Linked DNA regions of Diceros bicornis minor. The protein of the gene in region 2 purifies or fractionates together with the protein of the main gene of each other region. This does not show direct contact. Links are inferred from orthologs where the notes say so. Each region holds a gene or a part of one and is shown on either strand. Other genes may lie near its edges.

Region 1 (11,066 bases), on a different chromosome or scaffold from region 2:
AAATAAGGCTAAAAATCTCGACCACCTCACATCACAACAAAAAAGAAAAAAGTCCAGAAATATTACAGATAAAGGTATTTTTTCAAAAAAAATCATAAAATAACAATATAATATATAGTAGAATATTTTCTACTTTCTAAGCATCATATGTAACCCAAAAGCCATATAAAGGAAAAGACTAACAGATGTGACCAAATATTAAGATATCATTTTTTATAAGTTAAAAGATAAGAAAAATACTAGAGAAAATATTTTTAGCATTTTACACACTAATTAGAATGCACAGGGCCGGCCCCGTGGCTTAGCGGTTAAGTGCGCACGCTCCGCTGCTGGCGGCCCCGGGTTCGGATCCCGGGCGCCCACCCACGCACCGCTTCTCTGGCCATGCTGAGGCCGCGTCCCACATACAGCAACTAGAAGGATGTGCAGCTATGACATACAACTATCTACTGGGGCTTTGGGGGAAAAAAATAAATAAAATTATAAAAAAAAAAAAAAAGAATGTATAGATATAGAACTTCTACCAAAAAATAAGAGAAGAAATTCCCCAAGAAAATCAAATTACCAGTAAACATGAGAAGATGCTCAACCTCATAAATAACCAAAAGTAATGTAAATTAAAATAAGATAGCAATTTTAGCCCACCAGATTAGCAACGAATAAAAAAAGATTAATATCCAGTTAGGAAGAATTTAAGAAAACAGGTTCTCTCATTAATCATTTGGTAGGAACGTAAATTAGTATAACAATTTAGAGGGCAACTTGGCAGTTAGCTATTAAAAATTTAAATGAACATATCCTCAAGATTCTAAGATTCTTTTCCAGAGAAATACTAGCATACATATATACGTATTTAAGAGTACCCTCCCCCACCGAAATGGTACAATTATACATTCATCAATACAGAAAGGGTTAAATTCCATTCTCCATGTGATGGAGTACCATGCAGCTATTACAAAGCACGAGGCAGATCTATACGTATTGACATAGAAAGCTGTCCACGGTTTGCTATAAGGGTCGGGGGAAGGCGGAGAGGGGCAGAAATGTTACAGAATTGTGTGTGTGTGTGTGTGTGTGTGTATATATATATATATATATATATATATAAAATAGTTTCATGTTTGTTACTGAAAACATCCATGTGTGTGGCCATATACAGCCGGGAGGGAGGGAGGGAGGAAGGAAGGACTGAAAGGTTATAAACCAAAGTGTCACAAAGAACTCCTCTGGGAAATGAAAGGACAGTTGGGGCAGTGGGGAGGGGGACATGGGAAAGAACCTTCACTTTTTTTATATACTTCTCTATTCACTGATCATTTATCCAAAAAGCATTCAATTAAAACGTACTATGTGCCAGCACTGTTCCAGGCACAGGAAATACAGTGTTGAAAAGACAAAGAGCTTGCTCTCACGGAATTTACATTCTCTAGTGGAAGTAAACAATCAAACAAGAAAATATCATCCAGGAGAACATACTGTGATAAAAATAAAACAAGTAGATGTGAAAGAAGTAACTATGGTGGTCACTTCAGATTTGGTGATCAGTAATGGCCTCTCTGAAGAGACCAGAATGGCCAGACAAGCCAGCCATAAGAAGTTCTGGGGAAAGAGCATTCCAGGCAGAAGAAATAGCTAATGCAAAGGTCCTGGAGGAAGTTGTTAGGAAGAATGTTCCAAATGAGGTCAGTGAGGCAGGCAGGGGCCAGATCAGATCAAGTGGGGCTTTGCGGGTAAAAGCAAGGAGTTTGCATTTTACTAAATGAACTAGCTGAAACTTGTTACACTTATAATAGTATTTTTACCTTTGAAAGAAAAAAAGTTTAATTAAAATAACTTAAAGAAAAATTAAAATGCCAAGGGCCATGCTGGACTTTCCTTAGATATTTCTAAACTAAATACTGTTCTAAGCAAAGTTCCTTCTACCTCTATTATCTTCTTTAGGATCTGTCGAAATCGAAGAGTTAAGGCATCAGATTTTTTCTTCAGGAGGTTTCGACCTGTCTGTGCTCCTTTTAACCGAGCCTTCATGATGGTCTGTGCCCTATATAAACAGAGTTGAAGACATTTATTCCCAACGTTTAAAAAAATAAAAATAACTCACCAAGGGTATTAAAATTATGCTTTATTCTTTGATATCACCAGAGTGAGAATATACAGCATTTGTAGCTGACAGGTTTAATTGGTTTCTCAATACTGTAGATTTCCATCTCCAGTGTTCCATAAATGAGAAGTTTATTTATTTAAAACAAAACAATTCTTTAATCAATATCTGGAATAAGTATTTATTAAATCATAATAAAATTTACCAGGAGCCCTATTTTATTATGCCAGCATAGTTTAAATACTTATTTGATTTGTAAGTCCAAACAGTATCTGTGTTTCAGTTTCCATTAAAGGTATATTAAAGATTAAAAAAAAAAAACCTGTCCACTAATATGTATCAAAATTTGAAATGCACTTACCTTCAGGATCAACAATTCCACTTTAAGAATTAATCCTACAGATTTACTTCCCCATGTATACAAAAACATGCACAAGATTAAGTATGAGTACTCTAGCCTTATTTGTAATAGCAAAAGGGTGGAAACAAGTTCAATGTTCCATTAATCATGGTTCATAATACAATGGAATGATATGCAGCCATAAAAAAAAGAGGAAGGTAGATCTACATGTGCTTCCTATATTGTATGGTCTTGGTTATGCAAAGTAAGGGATAAATGTGCTTATATAGATACAGAGAATAGTTCTAGAAAGGATTCACAAAAACTGCTAACAGTTTCCTTTGGGAAATGGGGCTGAGTGAAAAAAATGGATTTACTTTTTAGTACTATATTCTTTTGTACCTTTTGGATTTTATGCCACAACCATTTATTACTTTTTCTATTAAAAGTGTGGCATTAAAGTGTTTTGATAACATCAATCAAGACCCTAATAGTAATCATTTTATTAATCTGTAAATGACTCTAGTTAACAGATGATATATATGTAAAGACTCCTGAGAAGTGACAAGCTACCGAAGTCTCTTTACCTCCTTATCTCAATGTTTTCCCATCAGAAACCCCAATACCAAAGTCAAGAAAGCAACAGCAGGCATCAACATTTCTGTTCTTGCTACCATATGCCAGATAAAATTTAATAATGGAAAAAAAAAAGTAGGTAATAAGATCCAATAATACATTGTATAACGTAGATACTTAAAGGGATTTGTTTAAGGGGATATAATTTCATATGACTAGTGTTACAACCAACTGCAAAATAGCATGTATTAATGAACCTTTTGGCTAAATTCTTAGATGATACCAAAATCTTTTACTATACGGCAAAGGTTACTGAGACAATTCAATAGCTGGAAGGGACTTTAGACGTTATCCTAAAAGCTAGGAAAATGAGGCTCAGAAAAGTGAAACAACTTTCCTGCAGTCACTCAGTCAAAAGGCAGAGCAGGAACTTGAACCAGATTTCTGACTCCAGTGACCTGCCCAAGACTCAAACTAAGGCTCAAACCTAGGTCCACTGTACCCCAACCACGTGCCACACTGCCTATAGCATCAGGTGAACAATTCTTTGGAAAAAAACTAGCTATCAGTGGCTGATTGGCCACTTGGCATTGACTGGCCTCGCTGGAGGTCTAACCAAGTGAAGCTGGTTCAGTTTCCAGTCTGAGCAGAAACTATCCACCCCAATGTGTACATTTAACATACCATATTGTTGACACTAACCATCAGAATTTGGGCTCAAAGAGGTGGATCAAATTTAAGTCAAATGCTAGTACTGCAGATTCCAGCAAGTTTATGGTAAAAAGGTGAACTGGTTGATAAAATTGAATTTACCATGCTAATTTTAATTTCCTCCTAGGTAATGGTACCTCTGTGAAATAGACAAATTTTAATTGAGACTCAAAGACTGACCTGCCCAAGTGCTTACAGCCAGTATGTAATAGAACCTGGGTTTGACTGACTTCTGTTGACTCTAAATCCTTCACGCCTCTGTTGCTTCCACCCCAAACTTGTTTTGCCCTCACTGGTGCCCAAGTGGGTGAAAGCCCGTTTCACAAGATAAAACTGCAAGGTAGAACTGTCTGAAACAGCAGTTGCTAGTGTATTTTCTAGCCTAGCTCCTAAGAAACCTGCTCTTTTACAAGTTTCAGAGCTGCTCAGCTCTACGAAAAATGTTTGACCTTCAGCTAAGATGATGACTTTGTTTCTAGCTGAATCAAAGACATCTGACTACATGACACAGTACCTGCTGCTAAGCCTTAGGAAAATTATTTAGAGAAGCGGTTACTTCCTGCACCTACTTTTCCTCGCAATTAGCAAGCAGAGTGCTCTCAAACAGCAATTTTCACCTTCACAAACCTATCATTTTCTTGTCTAAGCTCAAAGAAGTCTATTTTCACCTTTCAGTCTCAAAGTAAAAAAAAAAAATGTTAACACTCTGACTACTATCAAAGATCAACACAGCCAGATATCAGTTAAAGCAGTGAAAACAGATTTTATTCAATAACCACTGACCGCAGGGCAAAGAGCTGAGCTCCATTCTGATTTGTGCAGAGGTGACTTGGTGTTTTAAAGGAAGAATGAGGGAGGGGGGTGAGAGGGGACTCAGGTAGAGTCAGAGAAGTGAAAATCACACAGGGTTGGTCAGTGGAAATGTGATTAGGCCAGCTGTGTCTGCTAGCTGGCAATTAGGGAAGTTAGGATTCTATCCCTCCACAGAGACTGGGAGACAGAGGCCGTATCCCTCCTGACGATTACATCTCAAAGAAATGGTTTTCAGGTCCTTGAGAAAGACACTTCTAAGTTGGAGAGATATATACATCTCAAAGGGAGAAGTAAGGATTCATAATGGTAAGCCCTTTTTAGTAAGTGCCTTAAGAATGGGAGGTCAGGGACCTACTGTCAGGTGTTGGATAGAACAAACAAAATTCTCCAGGCAGCCATGAGCTTTCTCCAGCAGGCATTTTAACGGGGCCTGGGGTCATCCTAGGAGCACAGCCTCAGGCTGCTAGAAGCCACGCTAGAGTGTGGTGGACTTGCAGTGCAGAGGTTTGGACGGAGTCAGAGTCATTAAGTGCTGGGAGGTCTGCAGTTCCTACTGCCCCAGAGTAGTCCTGTTCCTTATCCATTTCACAGGCATTGCCTCTCCCCACACCGACCGGAGTCCCGCCAAGTACAAACAGCTATTAGAAAATCAGTAGGTGAAGTTAAAAAAGAAACAAACAAAAACCCCTTCACTTCATTACCAGCTGTAGCCACCCAGGCAGAGACAAAAATCTAGGTTTGGGGTTTGAATATAACTCTTTTATTTTAAGTGCCCTCAGATTCTCTGAGAAAACGGTCAGGATGAAGACAAACAGAAACCCCGAAAGCGACAGGACCACGATCAGAAGATCTAAATGTCAGAGCCAAAACTGATTTTCCGCTCCTCACTGAAAAAAAGAAGAGGAAGAGGAGGAGAGGGCAAATAGGAACATTCTTTACTTTCCACACGTTGTCAGGCACATTTGAGAAAACTTCAAAATTTTCTTTACAAACTGGCCAAACACCTAGGGCGCTATGCTATTTCTCCTGCCAAAGAATTCAGGTCAAAAGAGAAAGATTCCAAGGCACGGATTCGTTCAAAGAACTTTTTTTGTGCACTTTCTATGGATTAATAATCAAGACCTCATCCTGGCGAGAGCTCACAGTCCAGTGGGAAACATATGTAAATAAATACCACTTTTCAACGTGTTCAGAGGTCTGAACAAGGTGCAATGATGACAGAGCAAAAGGAGTCCCTCAGAAAATCGGGACATCTTCCCGCCGCAGGTGACATTTCACAAGATCTTGGAAAATGAGTAAGGGGATCCACGATCGAATCTAACGAGCACGCTAGGGCGATTCGATTCAATTCAATTCGCAATCAGAAGGTTCTCCTAGACGCTTCCGACCGCAGTAAACTTCCCTTCTCAGAGCATTTATCAAATCTCGTTGATTGTCCATCTCTCCGCTGAACTGTGAGCTCTGTGGGCAGGAGTGGCGACGATCCATAGTTACATAAATCCAGTGCCCGGCTCAACAAGGGAGTGTGGAAGGAACGGCTCGATTAGAGTCAAGTCAGCGGACCTCCACAAAAGCCAGCAGGCCGGGCGCCCGCTCCCACGGGCCGGGGTCGCTCTGTCCAGGCTGGTTCACTCAGGAACGTGTGAGGGGGCCGTCATGAAGCCTCGCCCCGGACTCACGAAAAGGGACTGGGGAGAGCTCAGGGTCGGCCCAGGAAACAGGGACCCTGCTGGTCCAGGGCATGGAGGGACCGCGGCTCCGGGCAGGCGTCCCTGAACCTGTGAGGGCTGCTCGTCCCATTCTTTTACTTACATTCGTGACGGAAAGATTTCAATTCGGTCTTTGCCCGACATTCTGACGATGACCGTGCGGCTCGGTCCCCGGCCGGGCTAGAGTGGCTGCAACAGCCCCAGCCACAGCGTCTTCCTCTACCGGAGTCAGCTGGCTGTGTCACTTGAGCCGCCTCTCGTTGCTAAGAGGCAGCCCGGACACCCATTCTTCACTTCCGCTTCCTGTCGGCACGGTGTGCGGCGGAGAGGAGGGGAGGGGAAGGAGGAAGGCGATGCCCGGATGTTGAGGCGCGCGCACCACGGAACCGCCTCTCAATTCCGGTTCGCCTTCTAGCCCCTCCCCCTTCAGCTCCCAGGCGGCTGCGCAAGACTCTGCACGCGCGGGGCGAAAGAACAGGAGAGAGGAGTACACTCCTTCTCTGCCTCCACTTTTCGTGTCTGGTCACAGCGCCACCTCATGGTTGACTGAAACTTTGAAAGAGGATACATTCGTCAGGGACAAGGAATCAGAATGTGCTTCTTCCCCGCGCCTTGAAGGTTACTTAGTGAAAACTAAAGACAACGAGAAAACGTACTTTTCAGGTCCTCTTATGACCCACCTTCTTCCTCGTTCTCGGAGGACCTGGACTCTATGGTCAGTGACGAAGAGGGGCCGGTGTTCTCTCGGCGCACGCGTGCTGCGAGGTGGTTCCGCATGCGCGGTGGGGTTGAGAGAAGCGCACGCTGAGGATCGGCGGTCGCTGCGGGTGGATCAAGTCTGATCTCTCCGATTAAAGAGCGTGGCGCGGGACCCCAGTGCGGGAATCACACACATACCTCAGGTGACTAGTCCCCGGGATCGGTGTCTCCAAGAACTCACTTTGGTTGTGTCCGGTGACAGGGGTGGTCGAGAGAGGGTAGGCCCCGGGCTAACACTCCTTCCCTTTCCCGTCCCTGCGCGGGAAGTGTCTGGACACTTCGGCCGCCACCCGCCGGCTGTGCGTGGGCCTCCTCGCCGGCTCCGTGGCGGTCTTCGCCCGTTGCCGTGGTGTCATTGTACAAGCGGAGGGATCTCGTGAAGGAAAGTGGGCCAGGTGGCTGTACAGCTTCTTCAGTGTGCTTATAGCAAGGATGGTTGAGGTGGGGCGGCCCCGGAGAGCGGTGTCACACCTCGCCCCTTCAATTTTAACAATTGAAGCTCATATTACCTTATCTCTCGAGTTGTGCATTTCTGTAGAATGAGTCACTCTTTGAGTTGAAACTGAAACATAACTATTGAAGAGTCTATTACTCTTAGTATCGGTTTGCCGTGTTTCAGCCCCGATGAGAATAGAGTTGTAGAATTACACGCTGTGGTCTTAGAGTTAAGCGTAACTAAAAACATAAGATAAGAGAATTTTAGGTTTAAATATGTATTTAGCTTGAGGTCCCTTTTATTATCCCCCAAATTTAGGCTACTTTAATTTTCATTAAATAAGAAACATTGTTTCTTGGAAAAAAAGGTGTAGCAGAGAAGTCTGGGTTTCCCCCCCCCCCCCCCGACTGAATGTTATTCGAGGGGAGAAATCTGTAACTGTGTGTTTTTCAACAGTCGGAGAATTATTTATATAGAGCTTTACTGCCTATTCTCAGTTCATCTGATGCCAAATGACAGTTACTGATTGTCAAAAGACCTTAAAAAGAAGCACAATAATGTTTGTAGAGATGGGTGCTTTCTCTTTCAACTACAATGAAATAGATCAAAAACTTTGTGTAGCACTCCTGACTGAAAGGTAGCGTTCAGAGAGTGTAACTGGTAAGTGCTAAAGCTGAATTAGAATTAGCACAAGCGTTTTCTCTATCACTTAAAACACTTTCCTTTGGAAAGGAATGTAGACTTCCTGTGTCCATTATGGTGAGCTGACCATGCACTGGTTTAAGCAAGGAGTCCTAGCCACCGTTTCCCTGGCAAAATCACTGACAGTGCAGGGTATTTGAAATTAGCTTGAAGTTCAGTTAGTATGTTTTGACAGATGGATATTCTTTACCAAAGAACACCTACCATGTTGTAGTACTGTAACATTGAGGCTTTGTGGGTTAAAGACACTCTGGATTTAATGTCAAAAGACTTGGTTTTAGCTCCTGTTCTAGTACTTATTAAGCCTCTGTCCTTGAGGAAGTCATTTAATATGTCTTTTCTTTGGTTCCCTGTTAATTGATTGCTTCACAGGGCTTGTTTCATGGTACCTTATATTGCAATTATTTGCTTCCTAGTTTGTTTCCCACTCTATACTTCAATTCTTTAGGTAAGAGTTGTAATTGTTGTATCAGTAGTGCTTAGTGTATAGTAGATACTGCAAAAATAATTGTTTAATAAATTGTTACAAAATGGAAATAACACCTCCTTTGCCTTTTAATATCTTATATTTGTATAGCACATTACACTTTTCAAAATGTTTTTACATATATTTTGTTTCATTTGATACTCTCCACAAATCTGTGAGGTATATGGCACAAACTAGAAACTAAAGTTCAGTGGGAATACAGTTCCAAGCAACCACAGCCAGTAAGTAGGAGAGCAAGGACTGGAACCCACCTCTAGAGCTATTCCCGAAGTTCACTGTGCTACTTGCCTGACTTGAGGGCTTATTGAGGGCCAAATAAAAGAAGTCAGAGTGCTTTGAAAATTATATAAAGATTGATAGACATCTGGTGTGTGGCTTCGATTTTCCTGACTGACTTTTTAAAAGTTAGTGTTATTATTAGCAGAAATAAGGAGATAATGTTCAAACTGTATCAACCAATATGCAGGTTCTTTGTGAAATGGATTCTTTTTGTCCTTAGCTACTTTCTGTCTTTATTGTGAGTAACATACCGTCAGCAGTATTCCCTTATTTACCCTGTATGTTGCAAAGAGACTTGTACCTCCTAAAGCAGAAGCATTCCTATCTCCCTTCAGGATTCTTTTACACTATTGCCTATGGTCTTCAACCATCAAATTAAGCATTTCTTCCCCCAAATTATCAGCTTTACTATTTGAAGAAACTTGGTAAGTAAACATGGTTAGTACCTGTTAAATCTTTTAAAACTGTTTCACACATTTCCATGATATCATCTATTTTGATACCCAGTTTGAAACTTTTGTCGCTTTCAAATTTTAGTGCTTTACACACAAATATTTGACAACAGTTGTCCAAAAAAAAAGCCCTGTTTTTTCTTTTTTTTTGAATGGAACAGCCAGCTCAGCTGTTTCTTGGTGGGTAATTCTGGCCATTGAATGTCTACTTCCCTTTATTTGCTAAATCCCTGTGTTGTCAAGCTACAAGAGAAATACATCTCTGCCACTATTATTAATATGCTTCTTTATTTTGTGTTAAACAGGCTAGATTAATACCAGAAGTTTGCACTAATCTGTGATATATGCTCCAGCACTAAATATATATATTAATGTTGCTTTTTAAGATGTTTCTAATTGTAATATATTTATCAATAATATTGAGAGAAAATATAGCCTGATGAATAAGAGGACAGACTATGGATCCAGACTTCATAGATTCAAATGCTGACTATCACTTGTTAGCAGTATATGACAGAACAAGTTGCTTAACCTGTGCCTCAGTTGCTCCATCTATAAAATGAAGAGAACTAGGAGGGGAAGTGGTACCTGAGGGAGATGGGCAGTGGCCAGATCATATCCAACCCTGTAGGTACTAGAAAGATGTATAAATCAATGGAAAGCCACTGGGAACATACATGTAGGTCTAGTTAGCCGTTCTCAAACTGCACTGCAGCAGAACTCTGGTGTTCTATGAGCTGGTTGTGGATGTTCTGTCTTAAGATCAAGTAATGGCAGCCTTATTTCCCAATTAAAAAAATAAGTTAGTAAATGAGTTTTCACAAATGTTTCATAGGTCTTTAGGCCCTATTACTGCCTATCTTCTGAGCTTTGACAACAGTAAATTGATTAAGTTTAGCAGAAAAACATGAAAATCATCAACTATGATTAATTTGAGAGCTTCCTTTTAAAAATATCCATCTACTCGTGTTATGATTTCAGGCTTATGGGTCATAAAAGGAATGATGCTGAAAGTAGGCTGGGTGGATCAAAGGGCATAGTTTTAAATATATTTAATGCTTGGAAGTTAAGAGAAACTTAAACTTTACAGAATGCAGATCTATAAAGCTATTCTCAAGATTGGGTATACCTGTTCAACAAAAGAGAAGACTATTTGAGAGTAATGGGAAAAGTAGAAGCTGGAAATTATATGGTAATGATGAATTAAATTGGAGTTTGTTTTAAGAGGAAAATATTTGGAGAGGAGGATACATTTTAGTTTAATATCTTTGGTGATTAATAAATTTTTATTTTTTGTCTTGACATGTGATATTATAATTTTGGCTATGATAAATGATAGGGTATATCATTTGATATATGGTTAAAGTTAGGAATTAAGTAGTCAGAAGATTCTTCCCTTTATGCAGTGGACGGTAGCATATACAATCGTAGCTGACTTGGAGAAAGAGTAGATTTAGTTTTTGGCTGATAGGTTTATAATAGCAATGATGCTTCCCATCATTTGTTATTTCTTAAAATGGTAGTGTTAAAATAGTATTTTACTCTTGAGGTCTACCTTTAATCCTTAGGTCTCAGAGTACATTATAGATGGTCATTATTTTTTATGATACCTCTGAAACTGATGACAGAGAATCATCCAAGCCTTACAAAAATTTGGAGCAAAGTAAAAATTAAAGCTTGGTTCCTGAACGTCCATCTGTT
Region 2 (10,501 bases):
CGGGGCCACAAGGTCCATCCAGGTCGCTGGACCCAATGCCCCAGACTACTATAAATCTCCAGCCTGAAAACGGGCATGCGGGGACAGACAGCCTGAAGCTTTTCTTTTTATATCTGACATTGTTTAGGTGACAGCCCCAGGGAGTGGAGACTTCTGAGGGACCCAATCAGAGAGTGTGGAATATTGATGGCGGGCTGGACCAAATGGTGGGCGGAGCTTAGAAGAGAAATACTTTTTGCTGATTGGAAGAGATGACGTTCCTGGAGGTGGGGCCTGAAAGGCGGAGTCTCCTTAGCTAGAAGAGGAGTGATTGGCCGTTGAAGGGGCAGGGCCTCAAGGGGCGGAGTTGGGGATGATTAGACGGACTCGGATTGGAAGTACAGGGTTAGGGGCGTGGCATGGACCCACACTCACCAATCGTCCCCCTCTGCGCGGGAGGCCCGGCCCAGCGCCCGTAGCCAGCCTCGCAGGTCCTCTAGCGTGTCAGCGGCCAGGACGTAGGTCCTCATGCCTGGGTGCTCCGCCTGCGGGAAGAGAGAGCTGGGGACCCGGACGCCCGGGACTTCTAAAAAGGAAGACGCCCGGGACCCTGGTCAATATCTTTTATCTCCAATAATGGATGCTCCAATGCCTGCCCCCATGGCCTAGTGCCTTAGTGTCCATGGGCGATGGAGAGACTCACGGTGAAGGTGAAGCGCCGCCCTCGGGGGGCTCCTGCCCCATCTGGCCTGATACTGTAGCTGGGGAGTAGGACGCTGCCCAGGACGCTCTCCTCGCGGCTGTCTGCAAAAGAGGGGCTGGGGTCAGGGATCACACAGGGATCTGGAGGCTGAGAACCTAGAGGACAGGGATGGTGGGAGGGGGGCCCGCCTACCCCATGCCAGCTGGGCACTGACCCTTGTAATAGAAGAGGCAATGACCAGAGAGGACGAACCAGCGGCGTTTCCAGAGCCGGAGCCCGGAGCTGTCCTGGGGAGAGAGATTGGGAGGAGAGGCCTGAGTACAGCGGAGAGGAAAAAAGGAGAAGGAGACAGTGACACTTGGGGACAGAGACCCAAAGAGAGGAAAGTAGCAGAGACGCATGTTTGACGCAATAGATTCAGATGGAGAACTGGAAGCCAGAGCGTTGTGGTTGAAAGGCCATCGATTCTGGATACAGCCCAACCTGAGTGTGTCTTCTAGCCCCACCACTATGCCCTTAAACAAGTCATTTCTCCACTAGGACCTTCATCTGTCACTTGGGGACTGAGAAGTTACAGGAAGGTTGGAACGAGATACTGTACCACATGTGGGTAGCGGCTTTATATTCCAGACTTGGTCCGATTATTCTGGAGCCTGAGACAGAGAGGCCGTAACCCCAATCCTGTCTTCCCATCATCTCTGCTTGAACTGCTCCACCATCTCTAACCCTATGCCCCTCTTCTCCTCTTCAATCCGTTCCCACAGAACCCAGCATGATCTTTTAAAATTATGGCAGATCATGTGAGTTCCCTGCTCAAAACAAAGTTTATCATCACGCTTAGAATAAATCTCAAATTCCTTACCCTAGTTTACTGGCTTGCTGAGAATCTCAAATTTGGGCATGCATGAAAATTACCAGGAGGCATTGTTAAAACACAGGTTCCTGGGACCCGTCCCCAGAGCTCCTGTGCCAGTAGATCCAGGGTGGGACCTGACAATGTGCATTTCCAGCATGTTCCCAGGTGACACTGATGCTGCTGGTCCAGGACACGTTGAGAATGGCTGCCCTGCCAAACCTCTCTCCCCCCTTGGCTCACTCCAAACACCAAGCTTTGACCTGCTGCAGGGTCTTTCGCTCTCGGATTCCCTCTGCCCCCCAGATCTTAGCATGAAGGGGTCCTTCTTGTCCTTTAGTTCTCAGCTCAAATGTCATCTCAGAGAAGCCTTCCCTGACCAACAGTCAAACGCAGCTCTCATCCCTCAGCCACTTTTGAGCACATCCCCGTGTTATTTCTTCGCAGCAGTTCCTACAATCTGAAACCATCGAGTCCATTTATTTATATGTATGAATTCATTATCCATCCCTGCCCCACCCCCATCTTGAATGTACAGTACTATAGACACTTGTTTGTCTTATTTGCATAAGTGCCCCAGGGCTTGGTACCTTGTAAATATTCAAGAAGTCGTCACTGAATGAATGAGTGGATGAATGAAACAATGGCAGAATAAGAGAAGTAGTGATAGGAAAAAAAGAAACATATTTGGAGACTTGGAAGGAGAGAAACAGCAGACAGCCAGGGGCACAGCCTCTAGCGGGGGTGTCCTTTCCCTTTTCCTGCTCACCCCACCTGCTTATGAAGCCAGCCTCGGATGTGCACGGGGAGGTTGGGATCCCTTCTGAGCGCATTGCCCCTCTTCCCGAAGGCGTGGACCTTGCTTACTGCCCGGGTGGGCTTCTGAGGAGAGAAGGAGAACAGAAGTGAACAAGGCCTCGGGATGGGCTTGGGGAGGTGGTGCAGCGGGACGCAGGCAACCTGAGGCCCTCACTTGGCTGCCTTTAGAAACCAGGTCAAGGAGGGAGCTGAGTTTCGAGATCGGAATTGCGTGTGCGTCGTGCAGAGTTGAGAGACACTCTGGATGGGCAGACGGAGGTGTTCGGAGGCAAGGAAGAGGCTACTGGCTGATGGGGAAGGCATTTGGGAATCAAGAGTCCACTGCCAAGGAAAGGATGCCCTTGGCCACCAGAGTCAGGGATGTAGGACAGCCTGTGGGATCCGAACTGGAAATATTGCCTGGGAGGGCCTCATCATCAGGAGGGTCCTCCATGCTGAGTCCCTGGAAATGGGTCGGCCAGAATCGAAGGACACCTCAGTGCCGGGTAGTGACATCCCTTAGCAACCATGTCCACGGTAGAGAGATGGCTCCAAACCTCTCCCAACAGATGGAGCCCCCTCTCCTGTGCACACAAGCATTTCAGGCATCCACAGCCAGATTCCCACAGGATGCCCTTCCTTGGGGATGGTACTGACCAAGATCAGGATCAAATCTGTGGATTCTGAACTCGGGAAAATGGACATGAGTGAAGAGAATGACAGAAGGAGAAGAAAATAAGTGTCATCACTGAACTTTGGGCTGGGGTGAAGATTTAGGATGCAACTATCTCAGGCCTCACGGGGTCTTATTGTCAGAGAAAGGTCTTTCCTTATCGGATTTCAGAGCTGGTTAGATGGGATGGCTAGAGACAGGCCAGGGAGTTCTCAGTCCTAATCAAGAGTAGCCACCACATCTGAGTTACTGGGGGGAGGCGGGGCTCATGTCTGGGGAGTGGCCCTATCTCAGCAACCAGAGTCAAGCCGAGTTATTACTCTGGCTTCAAATTAGGAAAATAGGAGGGGTGGGGACAGTTGGGAGTGGCTCTGAATTCCTAGCTACAACTGGTGGGCAATTTGGGACCTTACTAGGTCTGGGAGACCTCGTTGCTAAGGATCCTTGCTCTTAACAACCAGAGTCCCTAGGGTGGCGCTGAACCCAGGCCTAGGAAACAGGAGGATGGGGCAGCCCAGAGCCCCGCCCCCCCCACTAGCCCCCCAGCTCCACCAAGAAGCTCGAACCTTGGTGCTCAGGCTGCCCAGCGAGGAGATGGTAGAGGCGCTGCTGGCTAGGCTGAGGCTGCTCCGAGGTCTGCCCTCCTCCATCGAGGGCTTGGGGAGAGAAAGAAAGGGACTGTGTGCATATCTCTGCAGCTGACCCGGCTGGGGACAGAGACGGGGTCAGGGGCTCGCAGGTCGGAGGAGGAGGCTGAGGAGAAAGAGCCTGTTGTTCGGGGCCTGGGGGGTTGGAGGAGGCCCTGGCCCAGACCGCATACCAAGAGCGATGCCAAGAGAGGTGGGCGGCACTGGCAGCTGCGGGGAGGGGGCAGCTGTCTGCAGCCCAAGACAGAGAATAGGGGGTCCTTTATTCTCGCCCTCTGCCCTCTGGCCAGGAATTTGACCCTCTCTGTGCTGAGGGACCCCCCCATGCCCTGCCTCTTTCCGGCTGCCCCCGGCTACCTGTCTCCTGCCCTCCCACATGCACCCCTAAACCACCCCTGCCAAGCCCTGGGGCACCACCCAGGAATGCAAACCCAGGCAGCCCCTCCCAGCCCAGCCAGGAAACTTACCAGCTCTGAGGTCCCAACAACAGGGAGCAAGAGGGCTGTGTGGGTGCTGGGACCACAGTCTCCCTCCTTCTCCGTCTGTTAGGTGCTGCCTCTCATAGACCTCAGTCTTGCTTCTCACCTGCTCCCTCACACTCTTTTTGTCTCTTGTCTCTTATAGTCTCTCTTTCTCTCACACTCTCCCTTTCTTTTCGGCTGTCTCTGTCTCCAATCTCACCTTTTGTCTCTCTAATCTCTGTCTCTTCTAGTCTCTCTGTCACTCATTCTCTCCCTCGCCCCCCGTATCACTTTCTCTTCCAATCTTTCTGTTTCTGTCCAAATCTTTTTCCCCCGAACTCAGAGAGTCTCTTCCTTAAGTCTCCATCTCGTTCTCCCTCTCCCTCCCCCTCACAATCTCTTCCTCTTTCTTTCTCTTTCTTGCCCTCCAGGTCTTCTGTCTCCTCCTCTCTCCCAGATTCTCCTTCTCACTTTCTCTCTTCCTCCCTCTCCCAGTTTCTCTTTCCTCTCTGCTGGTTTGCCAGCCGCCCACGCTGCTGTCTCCCCTCCCAATCCCGGCTGACCCCGCCCCTCCTGGCCTCCCCACCACAGCCTGACCCCCTGGCTCAGCTACCCCCACAGCTGAGGGGAGGGGCTGGGGCCCCCCTGACTCTTGGGTCCCTGCTGCGGTGGGGGCCTGGAAAGCCGGGGTCCCATAAGGGCTGAGACTGGGATTCCTAAATGTTTGGAGAGTAGGAGGTGGGCGTGGACTCCAGGGCCCCGGTGGGCTGGTTGTCATCAGGGGCATGGGTCATTGGCCCCCTGAATGGAGGTAGCTTGGATCTTGGAAGGGGTGGGAGCTCAGATTTCTGGGTACCTGAGCAGGTGTGAGCCAGGAAGCAGGACTCCTGAGTTGTGAATGGAGCCGGGGGTCTGGAAGCGTGGCTTTGAGTGGAAGGGTCCCAGTCCTGCAGGGAGGAGGGAGTGGCCCTGGATCCTGGATTCTGGCTAGAGCAGGGTCAAGTAGCCAGGGTCAGATGTCCACCTCAGATCCAGGTGAGAATTCTGTTCTAGACTGAGGATGACCCCCTTAGGAGGGAAGCATGGTTCAGGGCGTATTTTGAGAAGAATTGTGGACCCGGAAGGGGGGATGGTGCGGCAAGGGCCGGGAATTGGGGCTGTGTCTCTGGGCCTGGAACTTGTGGCAGACCTCCCATGAGGTTCATTGATGCTACCCAGCAAGAATTTGAGTTTGTGTAAAAACAAGGCTTTCGTATGAGTTTGAAGCAGGTGAAATTGAGGAGTGGAATCTTGTGCCTGAGGCCAGGAAGGGGTCTGAGCTTTTGGTTTAGTATCCACTCACTACATATTTGCTGAGCACCTACTGTGTGCCAGGCACTGAGAAGAAAGCACGGAGCAAAGCCAAGTGCTGCCCTCAGAGTGCTGACATTCTTGTTCTCATTTGCAATGAATCTAGACTCTACTGTGACCACCTTGGGCAAGTAACCTCATTCCCAAGACTCACTTTCCTGATCTGCGAAATGGAAACAATAATACTATCCCACACCGGGGAGGACGTGAAGGTGGGAGAGTCTAGACTGGGACCTGCTGGTTAAATTGGGGAGGGAAGGCGTTTGCCTGGAACAGGAGTTTAGAGACGTCCCTCTCTGCTAAAGCCATTCACGCGTTTGATTGACAGCTCGCCTGCTTCCGGGCGTGGCTACGCTCCGAAACTCCGCCGTGACGTCACAAAGCTCGGACTTTCCGCGAGAATTCCAACCCTATTTTCCCTTCCCCCACGTCTTCGTTTCGAAACCCCGCCTCTCCTAGTGACGTCATCACGTCCGGCCGCGTTAGACTATAAAAGTCTCGCGGGCGGCGTCAGAGCTGATTAGCTCCCAGCTGTTGACTGCATGTATTTTCTGGCACGACTCCGCGTCCGTTTGTCGCGACAGCGCTTGGTGTCTTGAGTGACTTGAGTCACCGAACCCGACGCCGGAGGGCGAAATGAACGCACTGGCCTCCCGAGCCGTCCGGACCTGCGATCGCTTGTGGAAGACCGAGCCCGCGCTCCTGCCCCCGGGGTGACGCACAGCCCCGAGCCGGTGAGTGAGGGGTCGGAACGCCTGGGTCCCGAGGGGCTGGGGGCTGGGGATCAGACTCCTGGTCGGTAATGAGGAGGGAGCTTGGGCTTCTGGGTACCGAGACAGGCGGGTTCGGGGGCCGGGACTCCTGGGTCCTGAGGAAGGAGGGCCTGGGAGCTAGAACTCTTGTGTCCGGGGAGGCTTGGGGGACAGGGACGGACTCCAGGGCTCGGACTTAGGAAGAAGAAGGGATTGGGACCCTGGAGTGCTGAGCCTAACGGAGGAGGGGTCTAGGGGCCAGACTCTTGGGTCTCCAATGAAGGAACCATATGGGAGTCGGAATTTTTGAGTCTCCGAGGGAGGAGGGTGATGAGGGCCCGACTTGTCGATCCTCAGGAGGATGAGAGAACCGGGGACTAGGACTTTGTCCCCACGGGAAGCAAGCAGAGGACCTGCGTTCTCAGTTCTTGGGACCGGGACTTCTGGGTCTGAGGGAAGATGGGGCTGGGGGCTTGGCCTCTTGGGTCTAAGGAAGGAGAGACCTGGGGACCTAGACTCCTGGGTATTGAGGGGAGAGGTGAGAACCACGGGAGAGAGATGGGGAGTGGCTGGGATTAGAAAGGAATGTGGGCGGGGACTCTGCGTTGCTATTTGTGTTACTACTTCTGTTGCTGTGACTCACGGTCATTCCCTGATGCTATCCCCTAAATGGCTTTTAAACTTTATTCCCTTTTTTCCTCCCTTTTTCCCAGCCCAGACAGATGGCCCCAGGCCAAGTGCCGCATCAGTCCGCCCCCTGGAAGGATGCCCACCCCTTCCTCCTCCTCTCCCCGCTGATGGGCCTCCTCAGCCGGGCCTGGAGCCACCTGAGGGGCCCAGGATCTCCAGAGCCCTGGCTGGTGGAAGCAGTAACGAGTGCAGATCAGGAAGAAGCTGGCTTGGAGGGAGAAACTAAGGCTTCTCTGGCCACCCACCATGCCCCCGGGGGCAGGTACCCTCAAGAGGAGGATGGAGAAGCATCATGGGGGACCTGCCCTGACCTGAAAGCCAACAGTTCTCTTCTTGAAGCCTGGGGACTCTCAGATGATGCTGATGAAGAGTATGGTGAGGAGGAAGCCACCAGTGTCCCTAGAGAGCAGGGAAGTGAATTTATAGATGGCCAGCCTGTTCCCCTGTGCCCCAGCCTTCTGATAAGAACCCTGCAAGACCCTCCTAGGGAGGAGGAATCTGAGGAAGGAGGAGTTGCTGAAGATAAAGAAGCCATCACGTTCTCTTTTCCTCTGTCACACTGGGAGTGTTGTCCAGGGGTGGAGGAGGAGAAGGATGGAGAAGCTGTAAACAAAGAAAGTCCCAGAACATCTACTTCCTCCTCATCTCCGGGATCCAAACCCACAGCTTGGGTAGATTGCTCAGGGGAGGAAGAGGATCGAGCAACCAAGGAAGAAGAAAGAACAATTAAAGAAGCCACGAAGACCTCCATTTCCCCCTCAACTGCAGGCTCCCACCCCAGGGCCTGGGAGTGTTGTTCAGGAGAGGAGTCTGAGGAGGAGAAGGACAAAAAGGCTGAGAACGGAGAAGCTGACCCAGAGCCACACTCCTCAATTCGAGCCCAGAGGCCCCTGCTCAGGCCCTGGCAGTGTCAACCCACTAAGATCACAGAGGAAGACGATGAAGAGCAAGATGAATTCAGTGATTCAGGAGCAGCTGAGGGTCCCTCTTCCATCCCCCCCACAAGTGCCTTCCTGAGGGCCTGGGTGTATCAGCCAGGAGAGGACACAGAGGAGGAGGCAGATGAATTCAGTGATTCAGGAGCAGCTGAGGAACAGGGAGCAGCTGAGGGTCCCTCTTCCATCCCCCCCACAAGTGCCTTCCTCAGGGCCTGGGTGTATCGGCCAGGAGAGGACACAGAGGAGGAAGATGAGGAAGAGAATGAGGATGACGATGATTCAGAAGCAGCTGTCTCAGGGCCAAGTCCCTCCCTTCAGGCCCAGAGCGCCCTCCTCAGGGGCCGGATATATCAACCTGGAAAGGAGACAGAGGGAGGGGACGCTGCTGAGGAGTGGGGAGAAGCTGGGCCCTGCCCCTTCCGAGTGGCCATCTATGTACCTGGAGAGAAGCCGCCACCTCCCTGGGCTCCTCCTCAGCTGCCCCTCCGACTGCAAAGGCGGCTCAAGTCTGCAGAAACTCCCACCCGGGAAATGGACCCCGAGACTCCCCTAAAGGCCAGAAAGGTGTGTGCTGAGGGGTCAGATTCTTGGGTCTTAGGAAGGAGGGGGCTGGGAGCTGGAACTCCTGGGTCTGGGTGCGGAGGGCTGGAGGCCCCAACTCCTGAGTGCCCCGTGTGTTGCAGAGGGTTGCATGTCAATTCTGTTGGGAGAGCTGTGTTCACTGTAATGCAATCCTTTGCAAGAGGCTGGGCCCCTGTGGGAGGAGGGAGCAGCTGTGGCTCACGTCACCCTCAGGGAACCCACATCCACCCTTAGTGAGTCAGATGAGAATCTGGTGGCAGGCAGGTGACTGGCGAGATAGCAAGCATTTTTGTGTGATTAATTTTTGTTTGGTTCTCTCTCTCTCCTCCCCTCCCACCTGTGGCCACATGTATCTTGTGTCTCTATCCTTGTCTCCTGGTGGCTGTGCCGGTCCGTCTCCAGGTGCGGTTCTCTGAGAAAGTCACTATCCATTTCCTGGCTGTCTGGGCAGGACCAGCCCAGGCCGCCCGCCGGGGCCCCTGGGAGCAGCTGGCCCGGGATCGAAGCCGCTTCGCCCACCGCATCGCCCGGGCCCAAGAGGAGCTGGGCCCCTGCCTCACCCCTGCCGCCCGGGCCAGAGCCTGGGCACGCCTTGGGAACTCTCCCCCTTCTCTGACCACCATACCTGCCCCTACCCATGCCTTGCAGATATCCTCCGTCCAGGCCACGCCCTTGAGCCATGCTGTGGCCTTCCCCTCCCCTTCTTATGTGTCTGTATCTCCTTGCCTGGACCTCAGTGGGAGGCGTGGCTAAGATCATGTGGTTTACCTGTTATTAACTATTTATTTTTTTTAAGTGTTGGTTTATATAAGGAATAAAGCCTTTTGATTTGTAGTGAGCAATGTCACCGTGTGTTTCTGAACTGACAATATCTACTGCTTGTGGGTCCCGGAAGTAGTTGGGGGGAATAGCATAAAGGCAGTGCCTCAGGGCCGGCCCCATGGCTTAGCAGTAAGTGCACACACTCCGCTACTGGTGGCCTGGGTTCGGATCCCGGGCGCGCACCGACGCACTGCTTCTCCGGCCATGCTGAGGCCGCGTCCCACATACAGCAACTAGAAGGATGTGTAGCTATGACATACAACTATCTACTGGCGCTTTGGGGGAAAAAGAAATAAATAAAAATTTAGAAGGCAGTGCCTCAAAGGTAGGATAAACTACATTTCCCATCATCCCTCGAATTTGTCTCTTCTCGTCCTGAAGCTTTTGAACTAAGGTCTGGTGGGTTTTTTAGTTTTTCTTTGGCTTCCACCTAAATTTTATTAAACTTGGGACAATTATCTTCCCAAAGGGGCTGAGAGCTAGACTCATTGATCCCTAACAAAGGGTTAACCCCCAGTTTTCTGTGCCTCCCTGGAATATAAAGACTCATCCTCCTACTGGCCTTGACATGGTGAGTTTCTCAAGGTTTTCAGCTGCCTGATTTCACATTTATAAGCCCTGTGTCCACAGACTCCATTTTCTTATCTGTAAAGTGTGGCTAACAATTGCATGTACCCTATGGGATGGTAAGGCCCCAACGGAGTTCACATTTAAAACAATGCTTGTCAAATAACATGTTCTGTAAGCATTAGCTAGTGTTGGAATTATTCTCTCTCACCCGTGCGTGTCTTCAATTACCCATCCAAGTTTACGCCTCCAGCTTAGAACTCTTCTCTGAGCTCATAAGATCTGTCCAGCAGTTCAAACAAGAGGGGCCCAAATGTCCTGCGCCGTGCCCAGCCTCATCCCCTGCCCCCTCCGTGGGTTCCCCAGTCTCCGCCTACACTATCCTCCTTTCATTTTCCCAAACAGACCAAGCCCCCTTCCACCTTAAGACCTTGGTATGAGCTGTGCCTACTGCCTCATGTTGCCATCCCTCACCCCTCTGGCTCAGCTAGTTCCTGGTGATTCTTCAGATGTATGAAAATCCCTTCTTTAGAGATGCCTTGCTCTGACCCAGCCGACTTGTGCCTCCACGTGCTTTTCTCCTTCACAGCAGATGAGCATTTTGATTTTTTGTTGTTGAAGACCCATCTGCCACAACCCACTCTCAGTCCCACAAGAGCAGATACTGCTGAACAGCCTCATCCCTA

What was found.
Region 1: the proteins of PPP1R15A (region 2) and EIF2S1 purify together in Homo sapiens (affinity purification with western blotting; 4 studies listed by BioGRID and IntAct, with this or other methods). This does not show direct contact. The link is inferred for Diceros bicornis minor from reciprocal best matches to the Homo sapiens genes PPP1R15A and EIF2S1.

What each region holds. Positions count from the first base shown.
Region 1 is NC_080763.1:16,053,497-16,064,562, forward strand, and holds the start of EIF2S1 (eukaryotic translation initiation factor 2 subunit 1), read left to right. Parts: upstream 1-7,002; 5' UTR 7,003-7,152; intron 7,153-11,066. Other genes in the region: ATP6V1D (V-type proton ATPase subunit D), read right to left, coding at 1,924-2,041, 6,354-6,394. UniProt on the Homo sapiens protein: Member of the eIF2 complex that functions in the early steps of protein synthesis by forming a ternary complex with GTP and initiator tRNA. This complex binds to a 40S ribosomal subunit, followed by mRNA binding to form a 43S pre-initiation complex (43S PIC).
Region 2 is NC_080773.1:24,458,757-24,469,257, forward strand, and holds PPP1R15A (protein phosphatase 1 regulatory subunit 15A), read left to right. Parts: upstream 1-5,785; 5' UTR 5,786-6,198; intron 6,199-6,929; 5' UTR 6,930-6,938; coding exon 6,939-8,408; intron 8,409-8,828; coding exon 8,829-9,179; 3' UTR 9,180-9,260; downstream 9,261-10,501. Other genes in the region: PLEKHA4 (pleckstrin homology domain-containing family A member 4), read right to left, coding at 415-524, 683-783, 897-969, 2,310-2,417, 3,573-3,656. UniProt on the Homo sapiens protein: Recruits the serine/threonine-protein phosphatase PPP1CA to prevents excessive phosphorylation of the translation initiation factor eIF-2A/EIF2S1, thereby reversing the shut-off of protein synthesis initiated by stress-inducible kinases and facilitating recovery of cells from stress.